Linked DNA regions of Daphnia pulex. The protein of the gene in region 1 interacts with the protein of each later gene in a biochemical or structural test. Links are inferred from orthologs where the notes say so. Each region holds a gene or a part of one and is shown in the gene's direction. Other genes may lie near its edges. The genes, in order: DNA topoisomerase I, mitochondrial-like; SUMO-conjugating enzyme UBC9-B; serine/arginine-rich splicing factor 1-like.

What was found.
Region 2: the proteins of DNA topoisomerase I, mitochondrial-like (region 1) and SUMO-conjugating enzyme UBC9-B form a complex in vitro, tested with the Homo sapiens proteins (2 studies listed by BioGRID, with this or other methods). The link is inferred for Daphnia pulex from reciprocal best matches to the Homo sapiens genes TOP1 and UBE2I.
Region 3: the proteins of DNA topoisomerase I, mitochondrial-like (region 1) and serine/arginine-rich splicing factor 1-like form a complex in vitro, tested with the Homo sapiens proteins (2 studies listed by BioGRID, with this or other methods). The link is inferred for Daphnia pulex from reciprocal best matches to the Homo sapiens genes TOP1 and SRSF1.

Annotation. Positions count from the first base shown.
Region 1 is NC_060019.1:12,289,345-12,296,995, forward strand, and holds DNA topoisomerase I, mitochondrial-like, read left to right. Parts: upstream 1-2,698; 5' UTR 2,699-2,877; coding exon 2,878-2,916; intron 2,917-3,489; coding exon 3,490-3,561; intron 3,562-3,632; coding exon 3,633-3,740; intron 3,741-3,804; coding exon 3,805-4,011; intron 4,012-4,079; coding exon 4,080-4,375; intron 4,376-4,716; coding exon 4,717-5,033; intron 5,034-5,102; coding exon 5,103-5,246; intron 5,247-5,302; coding exon 5,303-5,578; intron 5,579-5,641; coding exon 5,642-5,739; intron 5,740-5,802; coding exon 5,803-5,938; intron 5,939-6,005; coding exon 6,006-6,121; intron 6,122-6,186; coding exon 6,187-6,324; intron 6,325-6,382; coding exon 6,383-6,579; intron 6,580-6,645; coding exon 6,646-6,798; intron 6,799-6,866; coding exon 6,867-6,969; 3' UTR 6,970-7,320; downstream 7,321-7,651. UniProt on the Homo sapiens protein: Releases the supercoiling and torsional tension of DNA introduced during the DNA replication and transcription by transiently cleaving and rejoining one strand of the DNA duplex.
Region 2 is NC_060018.1:630,961-638,101, forward strand, and holds SUMO-conjugating enzyme UBC9-B, read left to right. Parts: upstream 1-2,934; 5' UTR 2,935-3,087; exon of another isoform or gene 3,088-3,181; 5' UTR 3,182-3,190; coding exon 3,191-3,256; intron 3,257-3,331; coding exon 3,332-3,415; intron 3,416-3,528; coding exon 3,529-3,646; intron 3,647-3,708; coding exon 3,709-3,853; intron 3,854-3,923; coding exon 3,924-4,002; 3' UTR 4,003-4,162; downstream 4,163-7,141. Other genes in the region: glyceraldehyde-3-phosphate dehydrogenase 2-like, read left to right, coding at 237-314, 376-870, 937-1,194, 1,254-1,421; receptor-type guanylate cyclase Gyc76C-like, read right to left, coding at 4,602-5,576, 5,650-6,257, 6,329-6,473, 6,544-6,642, 6,718-6,841, 6,957-7,097. UniProt on the Homo sapiens protein: Accepts the ubiquitin-like proteins SUMO1, SUMO2, SUMO3, SUMO4 and SUMO1P1/SUMO5 from the UBLE1A-UBLE1B E1 complex and catalyzes their covalent attachment to other proteins with the help of an E3 ligase such as RANBP2, CBX4 and ZNF451.
Region 3 is NC_060024.1:10,558,657-10,566,155, reverse strand, and holds serine/arginine-rich splicing factor 1-like, read left to right. Parts: upstream 1-2,100; 5' UTR 2,101-2,282; coding exon 2,283-2,452; intron 2,453-2,508; coding exon 2,509-2,613; intron 2,614-2,740; coding exon 2,741-2,874; intron 2,875-2,935; coding exon 2,936-3,108; intron 3,109-3,166; coding exon 3,167-3,209; intron 3,210-3,270; coding exon 3,271-3,434; 3' UTR 3,435-3,909; downstream 3,910-7,499. Other genes in the region: U4/U6 small nuclear ribonucleoprotein Prp3-like, read left to right, coding at 5,271-7,037; zinc transporter ZIP3-like, read right to left, coding at 7,242-7,351, 7,483-7,499. UniProt on the Homo sapiens protein: Plays a role in preventing exon skipping, ensuring the accuracy of splicing and regulating alternative splicing.

The DNA of each region.
Region 1 (7,651 bases):
GACGCTTCGGGAACATTTGAGATGCATTAGTCGGTCTGGTCACAGTCACACGACTGACGTTAGTCACGTTGAGACGAAACCGGCTGTTCACTCCATGCTTGATGGATACATTTGTGACGTTTGCGGTCTTGTTGATCCGAATAACCGGAGTTGAATCGATAATCGGAACGGCCGTGATTGGTACTTTGGTCGAATTAAAATGTGTGCTCAATGTCTTGTTGGGGAATGTAGAATTGAGAGGATGAGCAATAACAATCGCTGGAATCACTTTGACGGAGGCAGGAGTAGCACTTTGAGTGACCGGTGGAGTAAGCAACCCGTCATTGCTCTTCTCGGTGGCAACAGTTGATAAACTAGGAGGAGTAGTCGTGGAAAATTGTTGCTGTGATGTCTCCTCTGTCGGCGGTGAAATTGTTGTGGATGGGCGGTTACGATAAAGATTGTTCACCGAAGGACTTCGACACTCCACTCCAATAAAATCAGCGATAAAGTTAGCAATACACCAGTAAATAAGGAGCTTCATTATTCAAGTTGAATGAGTTACACGCTTTTACCGATCTGTTAAATAACTGTAAGGATGTTATTGTAACCGGAGAACTGTGTAAGTGTAATTATTTGAGTTAACACTTGGAATGAAGTTGACTCGAACATTCGATCTCAAGGAATGTGACTACTCCACAGAAAATGTGTTGATTTATAGGAATCTATGATGGGCAATACTGGTCGAAGAGCGGAAAGAGAAGTAGGTCAATGGAAAAAAGAGGGACGCAATAGCTAAGATTTTTCGAGGCCCCTTATTCCGGATAAGCAATGGATGCAATGAATTATGTATCACCTGATCTGATCTGCTAGACATTATAAGACAAATCTTTACGTACTCCGTTTCATTGACAAGGTCAATAAATATTGAAAAGATGGGATGACCTCGAAAATGTGACCATGACTACGATGACTGATGTCCTTAAAGGTCGAAAGAATTTACCACGAGATCGTCTGGGGATTTAAAGCTAGCTAATAATCATTTCTCATCACATTCACATAAAAAAAAACATATTTTATATCATTCGACAAAATAAAACCCTCATTACTTGCAAACGCTAGAGCGGGAACAGATTATTTCTTTCTTGCACAGAGAAAGCGGAGGCAAATGCATTTAGTCAGCCAACAGCCAAGTCAAGTGAGACAGCATACTATAAGACAGCTCACAGCTTTGAAAATACAACACCAATCTGTTGATCTCAATCTCAGTAAACATGAAGAAGAGTTGTATGGTTAGAACTGAATATCGAAGTCACATATTCATGGACATTGAACTGCAGTCCTTTGAGGCGACCTCAAGTGACCCTTACTGAGATCATTTTTCTTTCACGCCTTTACTGGAGCTGGCATTCTCTTCAAAGTTGACAATAGAGAAAAAAGGGGAAGCGATTCGACCAGGTATATGTAGTATACTATATACCTCCCCAATGTTATAGGACTTAACAAAAGGAAGATTTGGCATATTGTGGGTCCCATGTTCACTATCTCTGCGACGGGCTCGCCTTACTGCCTTAGACGATGAGAAAACATCCATCGTGTTTACTTGGCATAAACATGTTTTCAAAGAATGATTTGAGTTTTAAGATTGTACCGATTAAGCTAGGTTAAGAAGCTTTGGAGTGCATGTAGCATTTACTCTGGTCAACCGTAAAACGCTCGAGTAAACGAAATAGAACTAAAGTGTTCAAAGTCTACACAAAATTGGATTGGAGATTTTTGAAGTAAATTTACCCAAGATTAACACAAAAGAAAACATCGAATTAACTCAGCAAAACCCAAAATAAGTCACTCGACTTTAAACAGTTTTATCCTTAGTTATTGCTGATTGGTAATATTACGGATATGACCTAAAATGGATAAGTAGTATATTTCTTTCTACTTCCGTTGAAGTAACATTAAATAATAATGCGACTGAGAAGTAAACACAAGTAAACATCAATTCGCCTTCAATGGCTTATTGTCTTATGTAAATTTGCACTAAGTGATTTTTTCAAATGTTCCATCCATTCTGATACCAAATTTTCGCTCCGTTTCCTAGCACAAATAAAATTGCAGAACGAATTCAAATAAAATTTAATATTTGAAAAATGCTGCAGATGCTGTTGTGGCATTCTAACTTGTTCTTTGGTGACGGCATAAAGACTTTGATGTGTACCTGTGCCGCACGTTGGTACTGTTACACTGCTTGTTCACTAAAATACGGCCATTCAACTCATGTATAAAAATCACCTTCAACTCAATCGTCCACTAAAAATGTTTTAAGCATCTGGTGTCTCCATAAGACTGTAAGGTCGCTATCGACTTTGGTACACTTAACAAGAAAAAAGTAATTTTTATATATTAATAAATGATAATATTATTAAATAAATGTGACGAAAAAAATTATTTTCCGTTTACAATAGCTTTTTCCCTTTAGGCTTACGGGTAGATAAGTCTTAAAAAATAATTATGAACATTTGATGATTAAATTATTCTGTTGCAATACAAATTTGCATAATCGCAAACGTTTCGAATACAAATAGTAATAATAAATAACGTGACAGACTCGACAGACTTCGTCAGGAACTTTAGATTTTTGCATTTTCGTTAGGTTAATTTTTACTGATAGTTGGCATTGCTGTTGAGGTTCATGGACGAGAATGAGAAATTGTTAGTTTGCTCACTTCTACGCTAGGAGCGCTGAAGATATGACCTGTGAGAAAAGTCCTTGGGTCCGTTGCTGAACGTCCGGATGAAAGACCTGGCCATGTTGGTGTAGTTGGCTTTGGAAGTTTGGACTCTATCTTTTTGTGAAAAAACGCTCCGGTCCACAAAAGTCGTCCTTTATTTGTCAACGAAATGGGCTCAGCAGAAGTTGATAAGCATACCCCTCCATCAGTAAGTTTATATTCATTCTTAGCAATCAAATCGTGCAATTTTAAAGTGTGTCGGTAAGACGTCGGGCAAATACTGGAATGGAGAATCTATGGATTTCCCTCGGAGTCGGCCGAAATTTTTCTAAGTTCAAAATGGCCGTCAGCGGCTAAGTCCCTTCGTCAAAAACCTCTTTCTTTGGAACGGTTGACAAGCCTTATTTTGAGGGCGGCTAACAAATAACTTTTGGTTTCAAGATCGCATGTTCGAGTTCAATTCCTCTTTCAATTTTCGTGAAAATCTGTTGAACATTTGACGTGGAATTAAATTTAAAAAGTTGAATTTCTAACCCGAAAACGCGCTGACATGGCGTCAGATTTTCAGAGTCCAAAAGATGTAGCTCAACAGATATTTTCCTACCTTTTAGTTAGAATGATGACAAATTCGTCGTAACCGAACGCTCTTGTTTACAGTACATTTCGGTAGCGACTTACAAATAATATCATTCATGAGCTTGTGTTTCATAAAAAAATTACTGTCATGGAAATCAATGACTTCCAATTCATTGGCTAATTTTATTATTTAATGATTTGATAGGGTGATGGTGCTGGAAAAGATATGTTGACTGGGTTGTCAAATGGCATGGATCGCCATAAATCCAAGGATAAGGTACAAGCAAAATACTTTTTGAACATGAGTAAGTTTAATATGGTTGAACTAACTGATATCTTATTGTTTAGGACCATCATTCTCACAAGCACAAACATAAAGATAAAGATCGTGAGAAATCTAAAGACAAAAGCCGTGATAAACACAAGGACAAGCACAAGGATAAGCATAGGGATAAGGTAGTAAAAGTTCTAAACTATTTAATTAAATATTCAATTAATTTGTTGTGATATTATTTTTAAGGATAAGCATAAAGACAAATCTAAGGACAAAGATAGAAAGCATGACAAAGAAGAACGCAGCAAGGACCGGAAGCATAGTAAAGAGGATAGAAAGGTGGAAAAAGAAGAAAAGAAGAAAGGGAAGGACAAATCCAAAGACAAAGCTGAAAAATCCCAATATGTTGAAGTTAAAAATGAACCTTTGTCTGAAGATGATGATGTACCATTGGTAAGTGTTGATAAACCTTTCCATGTTTTGACTAGTTTTAAAATTATTTGATTTTTTTTCTGCTTAAGGCTTCTCGCTCATTCAGCCAGACTTCACAGGATTCTGAGGATGATGATCAACCCTTAGCTTTTCGCCAAAAGGTTAAACCTGAGGTTAAAGCTGAAGTTAAAGCTGAAAAACCGGTGAAGAGAAAGGCCGAAGATTTGGATGATGATGATTTTTCAGCTTCTAAGAAGAAAGCTAAAAAAGTAAAAGAGGAAAAGAAGGACAAGAAAGAAAAGCCAAACAAGAAACCAGCCACTCCAAATGGTTCGCCCACCAAACGAGCCAAAAAAGAAAAAGAAGAGGAAGAAACGTGGAAATGGTATGTCTATTGTTTAAAGTAACGATTTCAAACAAAAAATGTCAAAACGGGTCCATATCGATATTTTGTGATCGATAGTTAATCGTAAGCATGGCGGCTTGTGTTTTAAGATGCCGTTTTTTTATTAGTGCAACACTTTCGAGAAATGCATTTGTTTCATCATATGTTTTAGTTAAAAATCATTTTACGTCAAATTTAGTTTTACGTTATGTATCCTTGGATATAAGATATTTACCGTGGTATTTTAACTCTTACAAATAATTCGTTATCCCATGTTATTTTTCTTTGCAACCTTCTAAAGTAACCTGTGTTCTAAAATAACGTTTGTTTTTGTTCTTTAGGTGGGAAGAAGAGAAGCATGAAGATGGAGTTAAATGGAAATCCTTAGAGCATAAGGGTCCAGTGTTTGCTACACAATATGAACCCCTGCCAGGAAATGTCAAGTTTAAGTATAATGGTCAAGAAATGAAATTGAGTACAGCTGCTGAAGAAGTTGGATCATTCTATGCTGCTATGCTGGATCATGACTATGTGACTAAAGATGTATTTAATAAGAATTTTTTCAAAGATTGGCGTAAATTTATGACTCATTCTGAGAAAGAGATTATTACTGATCTCAAAAAGTGTGATTTCACCTACATGCTTACCTATTTTAAAGGTTTGTCAAAATTTTCTGCTAGTTTCTAATTAATTTTGATGGTTGTTAATCCCATGTTTCCTTCTTTAGCTAAATCTGAAGAGAGAAAGAACAGGACCAAAGAAGAAAAACTTCAGCTGAAAACAGAAAATGAAGAAATGGTTAAGGAATATGGATGGTGTATTATTGATGGACACAAACAACGTATTGGCAATTTCAAAATTGAACCGCCGGGTAATTTATTATTTAAAGTTTTTCTCTTTTTAAAATGCTAATTCTATTGTTTGAAGGTCTCTTTCGTGGTCGTGGTGATCATCCTAAAATGGGGATGGTAAAGCGGAGGGTAATGCCAGAAGATGTCATCATTAACTGTACTAAAGGAACTGCACCTAAACCTCCTCCTGGCCATAAATGGAAAGAAGTTCGTAGTGACAATACCGTCACCTGGCTAGCTTCGTGGACAGAAAACGTCCAAGGGCAAGTGAAATACATCATGTTGAATTCAGCATCTCGGTTGAAAGGAGAGAAGGATTGGCAAAAATATGAAATTGCCCGTCAATTGAAAGGTGTGTTAGTCAACTGTTATAAAATATCCCATGAAATGATATGTTAATATATTTTTTACATAGATTCTGTCGATAAAATTCGTGAGACCTACAAAGAAGATTGGAAATCAAAAGAGATGAAAATCCGTCAAAGATCCGTTGCATTATATTTTATTGACAAGGTAGGTCAATTTGTATTCTAATTATTTTCGTCGTGCATATTTATTCTCTATGTTGCATTGCAGTTGGCGCTCAGGGCAGGTAACGAAAAAGATGAAGATCAGGCCGATACTGTTGGTGCTTGTTCTTTGCGAGTTGAACATATATCACTTCACGAACAGAAGGAAGGAAAACAGTGTGTTGTAGTCTTCGATTTTCTCGGTAATTAATATCTATGTGTACGTTAACGCTCACCATAACATAATTTCTACATTTTTCTGAAATTTAGGTAAGGATTCTATTCGATACTACAATGAAGTTCCAGTGGAGAAGCGAGTCTTCAAAAACCTACAGATATTTATGGAAAATAAAAAACCAGGAGACGATCTCTTTGATCGACTGAATGTAAGGCGTAAGCTTGTTATAATCGGGTGGGTTTTGTAATTGACCTTTTTTTTTTCTCCATGAAGACCACCATCATGAACAAACATCTGAACGATCTAATGGAAGGGCTTACGGCTAAAGTGTTCCGTACTTTTAACGCTTCCAATACGCTGCAAGAACAGCTGGACGAACTAACCGATCCGAAATCTTCGGTTACTGAAAAAGTAGCTATGATAATCTTTGCAATTATTCGTTGCTTGTACTAATATCAATTGTTTTTAGATTTTGGCATACAACCGGGCTAATCGTGCTGTAGCTATCCTTTGTAACCATCAACGTGCTGTGCCGAAGACGTTCGCTAAATCGATGGAAAATCTCCAAGTAAAAATAACTACAAAACGAGAAGCTATTGAAGACGCAGAGAAAAGTTTTAAAGATCTGAAAAAAGAAGCCAAGAAAACGGGATCCGCTGCTGCAAAGTAATTTTTTTTTTAACCATTTCACAATTGAACTTGTTTAACCATAGACTTCTCTTCTGTTTATAGAATTGCAGCAGGCAAAAAAGAGAAGCAAGTCGAGAAACTCAAGGAGCAATTAATGAAGTTGGAAGTTCAAGCTACAGACAGGGAAGAAAACAAGGAGATTGCGTTGGGTACCTCCAAGTTGAATTACTTAGATCCACGTATTTCCGTTGCATGGTAACATTGAATGACTGTCAATGTCTGAATGTGTTTATAAATTATTGATTTCTCTTTTGTCTAACCAGGTGCAAGAAAAATGATGTACCTATTGAGAAGATTTACAATAAGACCCAGAGAGAGAAATTCCAATGGGCGATTGACATGGCGGGACCCGAATTTGTATTTTGACGGACAATTTTGGGACACTTAACTAGACATTACAATGAGTTGATAGCCTTTGTCTTCATACCTTAATTTATGGCAATTGAAGTGCAAAGGTATACGGTCGTTTGCTAAGGAAAATGTGACTGCCTCCCTCTTTAAGAACCCTCTATTGAGGGTCAATTTTTTTATCATTATAAAACTTCTCATGTGTTTGTACCATGTTTCATGGAATGTGTGGGTCCGCCTGTCGGATTCTTGCCAACCAATTGTTCCATCTCTTTCTCGTCTCGCAACAACTTCTCGGCGGTTTTCTGTGTAGCGGTGTGAAAAGTAAAGCTGCGTAGGCTTGAAAAATAAAATTCTTATAGCCTTTAATTTTGCCTCTTTTATAAGAGCACGCGAAACAAGACGTGCGTCTTTGAAGTCTTGGTTAGTTTACGGGAGGTTCTGCGGTATTTATTGGCGTGATAAATACATGTATAGCTAAGTTAATTGTAAGATTGAAACAAACCAGAGTTTTTGCGTAATTTACGTACGTATTTGTCGTCGGTACATTTTTAAATTTTTCGAAAGCAATTTCAAGTTCTTAATACACTTGCAGTATTGCTGACTCTTAAATTTATTTAAAGGAAGTTGTTCTAAAATCTAAGCCACTACACAACTACAGGTAAAGTAACTATTTTGTCACAGTTCTTTGGGTGAACAC
Region 2 (7,141 bases), on another chromosome or scaffold:
TGATTTTATACTTTCTACTAGTCAAAGTATATATATAAAACTACACAAGACCAAATGTTAATGTTTAAATCCGGTAAAATGTGGTTTTGCGTCATCTGCTGAGAACAGCTGTTTTTGACAAATCAATAGTTTTACTGTTGCTATGCTAAATTTAACGTTTAAATTAGGCAAATGGAGTTTTTAATTTAATTTTTTGTTACCTTGAGCAGTTATCACCTCCTCAACTTCACCTAAAGATGTCGAAAATCGGTATTAACGGATTCGGTCGTATCGGCCGCTTGGTGCTTCGCGCTTGCATCGAAAAGGGAGCTACGGTAAAACATAATTAATTAAAATATTAATGATTTCACTCATTCTGACATTTTGGGATTTTAGGTTGTTGCTGTCAATGATCCCTTCATTACTCTTGACTACATGGTGTACATGTTCAAGTATGACTCTACCCATGGCCGCTTCAAGGGAGAAGTGAAGGAAGAAGGTGGCAAGCTTGTTGTCAATGGACATCACATTCAGGTCTTCAGCGAGCGTGACCCCAAGAACATTCCATGGGGAGCTTCTGGAGCTGAATATGTTGTTGAATCCACTGGTGTTTTCACCACTTTGGACAAGGCCCAGGCTCACATTGATGGAGGAGCAAAGAAAGTTATCATCTCTGCCCCATCTGCTGATGCCCCCATGTTTGTTGTTGGAGTCAACCTTGAAGCATATGATCCTTCCATGAAGATTGTTTCCAATGCTTCTTGCACCACCAACTGCCTGGCTCCTCTGGCTAAAGTTATCAATGACAACTTTGGTATCATTGAAGGCTTGATGACCACTGTCCATGCCATCACTGCAACCCAGAAAACCGTCGATGGACCTTCTGGAAAGGTAAAATACTTTTGGAGAAAAAAAAAATGATCACATACTAACCTTTTGAATATTCGATCATTGCAGTTGTGGCGTGATGGCCGTGGTGCTGCCCAGAACATTATTCCTGCCTCTACTGGTGCTGCCAAGGCCGTAGGTAAAGTCATTCCTGAACTGAACGGAAAATTGACCGGTATGGCTTTCCGCGTACCCGTCCACGATGTCTCCGTTGTTGATCTGACCTGCCGCCTGTCCAAGGAAGCCAGCTACGACGAAATCAAGGCTGTCGTTAAAGCAGCAGCTGAAGGCCCGATGAAGGGTATTTTGGGCTACTGCGATGAGGAGGTAACATCATTAGAAACATTTTACATTAAAGTTGATTGATAACGTGAGATTTTTTGTAGGTCGTCTCCACAGACTTCATTGGTGACAACCACTCTTCCATCTTCGATGCTGCTGCAGGCATTGCTCTCAACAAAACTTTCGTCAAGCTGATTTCATGGTACGACAACGAATTTGGTTATTCGTGCCGTGTCGTCGATTTGATCAAGTACATGCAATCCAAGGATTAAATCAATAAAGCTGCATTGTGGGATGAGTCACTGGCATACGTCTTACAGCAGAATAATCCGTTACTTATTCTGTTAATGTTGTCTAATTATCTATCCCTCATTCTTGCTACCGCACTGGCTACAACGATTGATGTTTGTTGTTGGTCGTCCTTTCTGTAGTCTGAAATCCCAATCTTAGATGTCTGTTACATTGGCTACAGGAATATAAACGTTTGTCACAAAATTTACATTTCAATTTTTTATTATCAGCTCATTTTAAATCAACATTTTGATCTTTAATTTATTGATAAAATATCATTATCATAAAGAAATTTACTTTCCACATACCTGCTCACTTTGGTGACAGTAATCTCCTTTCATGCAACGCCATATATTTGCATTCAAACGTGCGAATATGTGAAGGGAACACGAAGCTTTCAAGACGCGATTCCCCAGTACTCATTGGTTACGCCTAATAATAAAATTATAGTTAGTAATCTGAAATAAAACATTTACAATTATGCTCTATAATATGATTGACATTTCTCTGTAACAGCCAATACTGACGAGGAGTTATATTCAAAAGATTTTTTTAGATATGGACATTATTCTATTACTTGACAGTTAACTTTCTCAGAAGCATCTTCCTGAGCCCTTCAGGAGTCATTTGTTATTCAGTGCAATGGTAAAAATAAAGACAGACTCACAACAATATTACATAGCACACTACGTTTCCAAGCAAGAAATTAGTTTAAAAACTGGCACATGTAATAATCTTTGAACTATACAAAATAGTGATTCAAGCACTATTGTTTTGTGAAATCACCAATACATCATATCTAATGAGTATTTAACAGGATATTTTCCGCTTTGAGATACCCAAGTATGTTTCATTCCCTTCCACTTTGGCACTAACACATTCAACCCTTCTATGCGAGAAGTACCTAGCTGAAACAACCATAATAGGGAATAACAGATCTTCATTTAATAAATTTAGAGTTTGTGACCTAATATGACAAATTAACTGATGTTTTCATACCTTTCTGAACATTCTATATCAATTTTGTAGTTTCCCCATCCACAAAGTTAAACTGAACTGAGGCTTTAGGATTAGAGATTATATCATTCTTAATTCATTCGAGACATGGTTGTTTGCACCTTTTTTCGTTTTGTCTTCGTGTGATACCTTTGTGGTTTGTCACTAGTTGATTCACGTGTTCGAATATTCTGGAAGCATTACGTAAACGACGCTTGGCTTGTCTCGAATGTTGAACGATCAAAGCTACATGAGATGGAAGATATCAATGATTTTTTTTAACACTTGATTTTTCAATTTGGAATTTAAACAAAATACAAGAACTTAAGATGCATGCCTGTGTGACTCACTGCTCTGTTGTTTTTTGAACCATCTGGGCGCCATCTTTCATAGGCAGTGGCAGCATAGCCAGTTCATTTTTAATTTTAGTTGATGAAAACTAAAACTAAAAATGCTTATGCATGCTACAGCCAAAATGGTTTGATTTCATTGAAATCCATATTTTACATGCAAATGTTTCATCATTTATTCGTTTAAATCCCCAAATTAAATTTTAAATTGATTTGTAATTATTCGAATTACCTTAAGGCAACCCTGGCAATAATTGTACGAAACTACACAGCTAAATTATTTGGCAGCCGTTGAAAAAAGGTAACTATTATTTATTTAAGAGCTGTTGCATCTTGCTTTCTTCAGTCATATTCACACTTTCTTATTACATCACACTGAAATTTTTATTCTCTAGTGACCAATAATGTCCGGTATTGCTATTGCTCGACTTTCTGAGGAACGTAAAGGCTGGAGGAAAGACCATCCCTTTGTAAGTTGCTGGTTTGCCAAACGATAGTTGTTGGGTTGTGTGTGTTTGATTTGTGTATCTTTGCGTTGCCTTTAGGGTTTTGTTGCCAGGCCCACAAAGAATCCTGATGGAACCCTCAATTTGATGAACTGGGAATGTGCTATTCCAGGCAAGAAATCGGTAATGAGTTTTACACTTAAAGATCTTACTTCACATTGGTGTCAGATATACTTACCAAATTCACTGTTGTTTGAAGTAACAATATTAAGTGTAACTTGTGCATACATTTACAGACTCCCTGGGAAAATGGATTGTACAAAATCCGTATGATTTTTAAAGATGACTACCCCTCTTCTCCTCCAAAATGCAAATTTGAGCCCCCACTTTTCCATCCAAACGTCTATCCATCAGGTTGAATCAAATGGCTATTTGAGTGTTTTGTTTTAGCTAACCTTTTGGCATTTAATATCCAGGCACAGTTTGTCTATCATTGTTGGATGAAGAAAAGGACTGGAGACCTGCAATTACCATCAAACAGATTTTGCTTGGAATTCAAGATCTCCTAAATGACCCCAATATTAAGGATCCGGCTCAGGCAGAAGCTTATACTATCTACTGGTAATGATTTTTACACCAGTAGACAACTTGAAAGTTTGGATTGTAATATTTCATTTGATTATTTCTCCAGTCAAAATCGAATGGAGTACGAAAAACGTGTTAGAGCACAAGCCAAGGCTATGGCTGCCACCACTGATTTGCTGTCTTAATTTCCCAAGTAAATCCAGCTGTCAAGGAATAAGTTAACTTCTTTTTCTTTTCCACGTGCTCTATTTGTTTTTTAAAAATTCTTATTGTCTTCATTTCAATACTTACTTATCGTCCAGAAAACATACTCCGATCTGAAATAAAACGCTAAGTAAGGTGTAACACTTGTTGACCTTTTTTTTTTTCAATTACGTCACTTGACTATTTTATTTGGTTGTGACCTACTTTGTTGATATGCGTTTTATCTGGCGAATATCTGATTATGAAGACCAAACTTCTTTTAACTACTAGAATTCATCAAAGGCTCTCTTACCTGATTAAAATTTGAACTAAATGGGTTATCGATGTACAAAGTGCAAAACAAGGTATGTAAAACAACAACCGATTTATCACAATATTTTCAGCAGCGACAATATTACAGATACACTAAAATCAAAGAAAACATTCCGACTTGAAATCGATTAAAAATCTTAACCGAGAAGAATCGGAGATCGGGTATGGCATTTTCAAATGGCGAAATATACGAATCACGAAACAAGTAAAGCAAATTTGTCATCATGTAAAAAGACTGTGGAGGATGCAAGAATAAGGAGGCGCAATTTCACACAACGCTTTCTCTGTCATCACGGTGGAGGTCGGAAAAGTCCTCTCCCGTCTGCGGATTCCGACTAAAAGCATCACCTCCGTGACCCACGCCGAACAGATTGACTATCCACCGCTTGACGTTGGGCACGCTCTTGCTAACAGTGGGGGCGATGACCGTGTCTTTGCCTTCTTTACCGAGTCTCTCGCCCGATGTCGAATGTTCCAGTTGTTCACAAGAGTATCTCTTTTCAGACTCCATCAATCCACAGGCTGTGAGACTGGGCCGATGCCGAGTGCGATCGCGACTGAGCAGAGTCTCGGAATTGACGTCAATCCCTTCGTCGTCGTTTTGGAGTAACCTGACGGCCTGGTAGCCCGAAGTCTTGATATGTCCGTTGGGTCGTGACAATTCGGCTTGCTCCGGTTGATCCCCGTTCGGGATTGTCAAGACGACGTTGTGATCGTCGCTGAGAAGTCGAGAATGTTCGTCTTCAGTGTCATCCTGCGACGCGCAACTGGGCAGCGGCGACCGGTCTATCAAAGTCGACCTCAATTCAGACGGGAAAAGATCCAGGGATTTGGATTCTTTCCTGCGACGCTGATTCGACTTGTTTCGAGAAGGGAAGACTTGAGGAACGCAGAGAAACTGCCGGGGACCATGACTAACCGAACTCAAACCGCCCGCTCTCTGCTGCTGCTGCTGCTGCTGCTCCTGATGCTGGTGGTGGTGGTGGTGGTGGTGTTGTTCATCTTCGTCTTCGGGAAATCGACCGAGTGACTGGCATCGCCTTTGAGGTAACAGCGGACTGGCTGTTGTTCCGCTCCGATAATCCACATCACCGCTCTCGCTCGCTCCCTCGGCAACGATTTGAACTTGGCTGGCATGTGCGCTGCGCGTTAATAGGCAACTACGCCGTAGACTTGCATTTGACTTGGTTGTTCGAACTGAACGCAGAGACCGAGCCGATTGGCTCGTTTTCCTGTCGAAAAGCTGTTTTGTTTAAAAAGAAATGGAACGTGTTACCATGGAAACTTTCAAAAGGGAGAAAATGAGAAATTTATACTTTCGGAGTTGGAGGTTGATTGGTGCTGATGATGCTGCTGCATATCGAGTCGCTATTGGAACCCTCCAACAATTCGGCCGAATTATCGTGGTGATACATCCTGTTGGGCTGGCCTTGTGTCCGTCCTTGTTGCGCAGCCAGCGACGAGCTCATTCGAATGCTCCCGCTGCCAACGGGCCTCGAATCGGACGACACTCTCCTCGTCAGCATCGATTCCGCCCTGTGAAGCATTCGAGGACTCCTCCGGCGAAGATCCGACATGTTGCCGGCACTGCCGTTGGCGTTGGAACTCGCTGCTCCGATGGCACCAGACGGGCGACAAAAGAGTGGCGCTTGATCGGGTCCAACGTCCGCTCGTGCTGTAACAGCTCCACTTGTGACGCCAATCAGCCAGTGTGTCAACACTTCGCCTTTGCCCTTCATGGCGACCAGTCCTCGTTCTTCCGTCACGTAACCGCCGATCTTTTCCAACGCCTTTCGACACTCGCAACTGATGTGAATCCTCAGGGGCTCGCCGTTCGATTCCATCCGCGAAGCCGTGTTGACCGTGTCGCCGAACAAACAATATCTGGGCATCGTCAAACCCACTACTCCGGCCACCACGGGACCTGTTTCATCATATCGACAAAAATGGTTTTTTACCCTTTATTTGTATTTATTTTAAACTTGTGTATTGTACCGGTGTGAATTCCGATCCTGAGTAAAACTGGATCTTTAGGTCGATGGGACACGCGATGATTCTTGACTGCTGATAGCAAATCAAGCGCCATCGACGCAATCATGCCGGCGTGTAGATCGCCGTTGGGTAAAGGCAATCCAGAAACCTGTTTTCACCCAATTTTAGATGAAATTAAGTCAAAAATGAAAACAAGTTGTATATATTGTGAGACTTACCACCATGTAGGCATCTCCGATGGTTTCCACCTTGTACACATCGTAACCCTGGATGATGGAATCGAACAAGGTGTACAAATCGTTGAGAAAGTTGACCACCTAATTGCGGAGAAAACAACGCCCACAAAATTGTCAAATCTAAATCGAGTTACAAGTTTTTAATAAAAGAATTACCTGGAACGGAGTACTCTCGGCCGACATTTTGGTGAAGCCAACAATGTCACTGAAATAGATGGTGACAGCTTCGTAGGATTCCGGTTCGACGCCCCACCCTCTTGTGAGTCGTTGAGCCACGGGTCTGTCAATGTCAATGTCAGCCATTAAGAGCTTATTCTTTTAAGGGTGTGTCTATTCATTTCGCAAGAGTGGCTAATAATAAAAATAAAAAAGGGGGGTTGAAAAACCAGACTGACTTTGGTAGCATGCGATGGAGGAGGTCCTCGGTCTTTTGTTTCTCTTCGTAGAGAAGTTGGGTCCGCTCGGTGACCAAGAGCTCGAGATTGCCGGCATAGATCACCATCATTTCCATCAACTGGTCCATAATAAACGGCTTCCTGTGCATCGACCAAACGGCCACGATAACAAAAAGTCAGAAATC
Region 3 (7,499 bases), on another chromosome or scaffold:
GGGTGGAGCAAGAGACCAGTAGGGGTTACATCATGGGGATGGATCACTTTTGTGAGTGTAAAACCTTGTAAAATGTGTATTTGTTGAATGATTAGGATCTAGTTGGTTACCCTAACCAGACTTGAAGAGTAAGATTGCCACCTGCCCCAAGTAGAAATAGATGAAATGTCTGGTTTCATGAGTGACGTAAGAACCAAAGTTCCGCCCAACTATGCAATGCCAAGTGGGATTGTACTTTTTGTCAAACTCTTTTTTTATGTATGCAGCAATATCCTATGAGAAAAACGTATTATGAATCAACCAGCGAAAGCAAACAACTTTGTTCCTTTAACACATTGTTTTTAATGTTTGAAATATCCAATTACTCAAGTATTTTGACTGACCTTTTCAATATTGTACTTTTCCAAGGCTTGTGTTGCACAGTCTACTGCATCCTGCTGCATTTCCTCCGACATATCCGCATTTTTAATAACAGCTTTTCGATCGGCCATTCTTTTAAAATTTTGTCAAAACTTCTGCAGGAGGAGATGAAAAGTGGGAATGAATCAGACCTGTTGCGTTATAGGGCCACTTTGAGTGCTAAAATGATGAATAAATCAATACTTGTTTTAAAGGACCAGCCTTAAATCTTTTCTTTTTTTCAAAAAACCTAGAAGTTTCTACTGCACAGACCTCGGCAACAGTAAATCAACTATAGAGTCAAGCACACTCAGAACTGACAACGTTAAATTCAAGATCTTTCTGACCGGCGCAGATCTGCAGACGGTTAAGTTCTTCTTCAATGATATTAACAAAGGCCTGTTACCAGCAACTTACATGAACTCTGATGTTCGTAAGTCAAGTTGTGTCCAAAGCGCCACCAGTGGACTGATTCATTCAAACAACATACTAACATACTATCATGATAATATGGTTACAATTTGGTTAGTAAAATACAAGGTTAACAACATTTGATTTCTCATTTATTTTTCATATTGCATTCATGAGGGAAAAACGTTTTTGACTGAATGAATGTTTTCCGTTAGAGGGCAGTAGTAACCGTAGCAAAAAAATGCGGGACTAAAATTGACAGTCAATTGCCTATCGCACAAATACCTTGCTCCAACGTATTAAGGCTTTAAGTATCGGTAGAAGTAAATGATAGAACCAAGTGATTCTAACGATAGTTACAAAAGGCGCGTTTTTTTTAAACAGGGAAATTATTGAAAGTCTATCAACTATAATTAACAATAATAATTATTCACGTTTCTCCTTGCTAAAATTTTTAATTAAAATGAAATGTGTGACGTCAACATTTATAAGCGTTTCCGTTTGCTGCTGTTAGAATACTTTTTTAAATATCACATTTCCGGGCGGAACGGACAAAACAAAACATTGTGAAATATAATAAGGAACACAAAAGAAGAACATAAATACTTTTTTTGTTATTATTATTTCAAATCTAAGTTGTCTTATCCCTTATGGCACGCTCAACTATTTTTCAGACTTACAATTTTCAGAGCTATTGCTTATGGCAAGCCAACTCAAAATTTCACAGGAAAAAAGGAATAAATGCACCACTGAAAAATTAAAGATAGGTTATTGTTGTAACCAATGCCGGTTTATTTATACCAGTTCTTGAAAGGAGATAACCCCCAGAGCAAATGACCTTGTCACAAAGTTGATCGTTACGTCAATGCGGTTGAAAAGAACTCGACCTTGATGTACGATTTTATACCAGGTATAGATTGCACGCGAACGTCGTTACCAAGAGCCCAACAAAAATGTCGCGCAATAGGCTCTGCATGCAAGGGTCATTCAGTTAATTGCACCAGAACAAAGAAGTACTCAAGATAACAAGCATAATTTTGAGATAACTGAGTTAACCATTAATAGCTGTGGTTCGGTCTTCGGTTTGCGCTTACTAGAGTGCCACCGTGTTCACTTTGAAACCTAATTATTCACAAAGCCACTAATATGAACTTATTTCAACTTAATTTTCATCCGCGATTTATTTGCTAGATTTATAGGCAAACAAAAAAAATTAAAATCACAAAAATAGTAACTATAAAAAAAAGACAAAAAATAAAAATAAAAGCGTTATCAACTTGCTGATCTGGCAATGCTCCATGGCTGACGCCATTACCCGTTCAGAAAAATTTACGGCATTTTTCTGTTTGACAAGGGGCGCCTAACACCCAAGACTACTGTGACGTCTTTTTTCGAAAAAGCAAATTCCGTATTCGAATTCGATTTAACATACACATTTGGCAACTAACCGTAAGTGACAAGAAACAGTCAGTATGTCAAGTTCTCGCAACAATGAAGCCAGAATCTACGTCGGTAACTTGCCACCCGACATTCGCACTAAGGACATTGAAGACTTATTCTACAAATTTGGAAAGATTGCATACATTGATTTAAAGAACCGACGAGGACCTCCTTTTGCTTTTGTTGAATTTGAAGATCCCAGGTATGTTGCATGGTTATATTTGTTTCCTTGTTTAGTTAATTACAAGCACTTTATAGGGATGCTGAGGATGCTGTGCATGCTCGTGATGGCTATGACTATGATGGATATCGTTTGAGAGTGGAATTTCCAAGAGGATCACAGAATTCTGGTGGTGGACACAGGTCAGTTTTTCTATCCTCACATACCATATTTGTAATTTAGTTGTGATTGTTTTATTTTGTTGGTAAAAGAAATTATGACAAACAAGTAAAAATCCTAATTTAATTTTTCATAATATTTATTTTTTAGGGGTAGTGGTGGTCGAAGTGGAGGAAGAGGTGGTGATGGAGGTAGAGGAGGGGGTGATGGTGGGGGTAGCAATGGTGGAGGCAGGAGTCGAGGGCCACCAGCAAGAAGAACAAATTACAGAGTCATTGTAACTGGTGAGTTAAACATTTAGTAAAGTTTTAAACCATCATTTAAAGCCACTTTTGATATTCACAGGTCTTCCTCCTACTGGATCATGGCAAGATTTAAAAGATCACATGAGAGAAGCTGGTGATGTGTGTTATGCTGATACCTATAAAGATGGAACTGGAATGGTTGAATTCCTTCGCTACGAGGATATGAAATACGCCATCAAGAAATTAGATGACTCAAGATTCCGTTCACATGAGGTATATTTTCTACAAATCTTGATAAACAAAGTTTTCAAAATTATTCGTACGTTTACAGGGAGAAGTATCATATGTGCGCGTTAAGGAAGATAGCGGAGACGGTAAGTTATATTTCAATTTTTGTTTAAAGTAAATATTGACCTTGAATTTTTTCTTCTATAGGTCGCAGCGGCGGAACTCGTGATCGATCGCGATCTTATTCTCCAGCCGGTGGTGGCGGCAAAACACGTGGAAGTCGCGGCTCCCCCAGCTATTCCCCCGTTCGTCGTGGTGGTTCATATTCCCGTTCGCGCTCACGCTCACCTCGTTCCAGATCACGATCTTAAAAAAGTTATGGAAACGAGAAAAAGGCAAAACTAAACAAAAAGACAAAAGTTGTGCGATGTGGACAACAAAAAGCTTAAGGATTGGAAGGACTGGAGGAGGAAAGGGGTCTTTGGTATTGTCTCCATGGTTCATACTATATTTTCAAAATTCTTAGATGAATAGCAAATCTTTTAAATTGCAAAAACCAATTTTTTTTTTTTTTACAACAAGCTACATCAAAGATTTCAATTTTTTATGAGAAACTCAAAATATGTTTCTTGGGTTATGATTTTGGCATTTGCAATTATTGCTACTAATCATTCAGTTTCTTCTCGACGTACACGTAATCCTTTTTGGTTTCGAATACCCTCAGAGCTCCCCGATTCCAACCAACTAATTTTTTTTTTTCCGTGAGCAACCTCATCCTTTCCTTTTTCCCCTCCCTCTTGTAATACACAAAATAGCTGTGCGTCGAATAAACATGATTCTCATTTTCTTCCCCTTTCTATTTGTAGCGTACACAGCAAGGTTATTGCTCTCTCTGGATGGGATTGTTGTGGGATTTGGATTGCATTGGATTTGGATTTCATTGGAATGGATTTGGATGGATGCATTGTGGATTGATAGGTGACAGGATCTGGAGGATATGCTGGAAACAGCAACCGCTTCTCCTTTGTCTACAACCGTCGTGGTGAATCGCTGTGGACTTGCCTTGTCAGGACCCGTTTATTTTAAAGAGATCTGTTGGACTCCGGCACTTTGGAATTGAGCCCGACCTAAGACAAGAGTTAACTTAGGATTGCTTACCCTTTGATTTTCAGGCACTTTTTTCATCATCATACAGAGAAAGAAGAAACCGACGGATGACGACAAAATGGAAATAATACATGCCTTGCAAATGGTGATATTTCCTTGGAGTACAAAGAAATTCCTTCGATGTTTACCGATACTTCTGTTTTCGGCACATTGGAAACAGTATTACCATTTTAATGACAATTTTTTTATGTATGATACGATTTAATACAACCAGTGAAATGCTTTTGAAAAAAAAATTATGACCAAAATTATTCTGTTCTCTAGACTAAAACAAAAATTTGATGACGTGTTTAAAATACAAAGTTGCTTTTCGTCTTAAACACAGAAAGAACAATTAAAACAATTCGCATTACGATTACTCACCATAGAAACTTAACGTAGAAACTGTTTCAGAGAAAAAAAATAGGTTTTTGTTTAGTTTTGATTTCTTTCTAAATTTATATCTCCTTGTCCTTGGAACCAAAAATGAGAAACAAAAATGCTTTGAACTTGAGCGCTTGCTTCTTCTTTTTCTTTTTACGAAAGTCCCAGTACTTCCTTAAGATTCCTCTAGATGGCGTCTTCGCGTTGCTTGGGTAACCAAAAACGTATAAAAACGTACAAATTTTCCCCCAAAATAGTGTAATTACACATTCACTTTGAGCATACTCAAAAAAACATATAGTTTGAAATTATATATTTGTACAGCGTTTTGAGTTTATCATCTGAATTTCTACGATTTTTCTGTGCATCAATAGGCTCTTATCGGTTGTTAACCGGTCTCTAAACAGAGCAAGTTTAGACCTGCAGTTACGAACTACAGTGGAAGATTGAAGCATTGGTAAGAATAATTTTGTTTTTTCTTCAATAAACCGATGATTTTATTTCACAATACATTCGTCATTTGTCATAGATTAAACATTGTTAGAAGATATTTTCAGTACGTTGAAAATTGTCACTATAATAACATTGTAGCAGAATGTTTCTCTTCAGTAAACAACAACTTTTCTTTCTTTTTTTTTAGGCATCTGTGATATAGGTTTTTTGGGGTATTTCCAATCATGGCTACTACAAGCATAAAAAGACCTAAAGAAGAAGATTCACTCGATGGACCTGGTCGAGAAGCAAAAAAGTTAAAATCACGATTCCAGGATGACAGCAATGGAGATGGAAAGAGTGACCAGGATACTACTGAACAACTCTCTTCTTCTCAGATTAGAGAAATGATGATGAATGCTCAAAAGATGATTGAGGAAAGGAAACGATCTCTCAATCAACCGCCAGCTCTTCTCAAGACTACCCCAGTGCTCTCATCACTTCCAACACCTGTAGCTCCTAAAGCCGTTCCCCCATCTTCAATGGATGAGCGTGCCAGAAAGATTGCTGAACTACAGGCTCAAATTCAGTCAAAACTAGCCACCTCCACTTTAGCCACATTGAACTTGAGTCTTCCTAAAACAGCCAGTGTCCCTGCATCAACAGGGGAAGGGTCTAATAATGAGCCGAAACCTGGCCCACTTATTCTCAACGCTGATGGAAGGACAGTTGATGCGACTGGTAAAGAGATTGCCTTGGCCCAATACACACCAACTCTCAAGGCAAACATTCGTGCCAAAAAACGCGAGGTGCTCAAGACTCACATGGGCAAAGGATCTCAACAACAAAGCGAGGAAGCGGGAAATTTGACGGAAAGTCGCTTCTTCGATCCACGTGTTGCAGCCAAATCCTCCGTGAGAACACGCAGAACCTTCCACTTTCACGAGCAGGGCAAATTTCAGCAAGTGGCATCTCGAATGCGAATGAAGGCTCAGTTAGACAAATTGCAAAGCGAAATCTCTCAAATTGCCCGTAAGACTGGCATCAATTCAGTCACTGCACTTGCTCTAGTTGCCCCACGAGTTGGCGATCGTCAGGAGGAGGAGGACATTGATTTGGAATGGTGGGACTCGGTCATCTTGCAAACACGAAGCTACGAAGGCGAAGACGGACAGCCCAATTTACGCCAGGAGACGATTACCAATTTAATCGAACATCCCATCCAAATGCGTGCTCCCACCGACCCGCTGGCCTTGCCCTATTTGCCCGTCTTTCTCACCGAGAAAGAGCGCAAGAAGTTGCGCCGCACCACTCGACGTGAAAATTGGAAGGAGAAACAAGAAAATATCCGTTTGGGACTGGAACCGCCACCTCAAGCAAAAGTTCGAATTTCTAATTTGATGCGCGTGTTGGGCAACGAAGCCATCCAGGATCCAACCAAAATTGAAGCTCACGTCCGCGAGCAAATGGCCAAACGACTTCAAAATCACCAGGAGGCAAATGCCTCTCGAAAGTTGACGGCTGACCAGCGACGCGAAAAGAAGGAGAAAAAGCTCCAAGAAGACACGACAACGAGCGGTGTGCATGTGGCGATTTACCGGATCAAGGATTTGTCCAATTTATCCAAGAAATTCAAAATCGAGACCAATGCCAAGCAGCTTTACATGACGGGATGCGCAGTCATTTTCAAGGACGTTAACGTCGTTATAGTCGAAGGAGGCCCTAAACAGCAGAAGAAGTACAAACGCTTGATGCTCAATCGCATTCGGTGGGAAGAGGACGCCGTCAAGGTTAGCAAACACGACACTGGTTCATCCTCCCAGCCCGAAACGCGGAATTCCTGCCAGCTCGTTTGGGAAGGCACGACCAAACAACGCAATTTTGGTGACCTCATCTTCAAACTTTGCCCATCGGAGGTTGTGGCTCGAGAACATTTTCGCAAACACGGCGTCGAACACTACTGGGACCTGTCTTATTCCACAGCAGTGCTGGAAGAAACTGAAGAAAAGTGATCGGTTTCATTCTGCCATCAACTTTAACTCTTTATTTTTTTCTTTTCATTTTTGAACCAAACGTTCATCTTTGAATATTACCATCAATAAAAAGATTTGTCTTTATTTCTTTTTTTTTTCTTTTTTTGTGTACAAAAACGGGGAATGTTATACAGGTCTTCGCAGGAACATGACAGAATATATCCTTTGACGCTGGGCAGCTTTTCAGGCACTCGGTGAATAGAAGGTGTAACGTGGTGTCGTGACGGGTTGCAAAACAAACGATAATCCGACAGTTGTTTGTGTTTGGTGATCTGTTGTTGGTTCTCCGTGACCTATGACGCAGCATAAGGAAAAAGGTGGTATTTATTAGACTAGTTCGTGATTGTCATTTCTAACAGATTTTTTAATAGTTTCCTTTTCAGCGAAATTGAATTTAGAATTTTTTTAAAAGGAGGAAACTAACCGCCCAAGGCTTCAAGT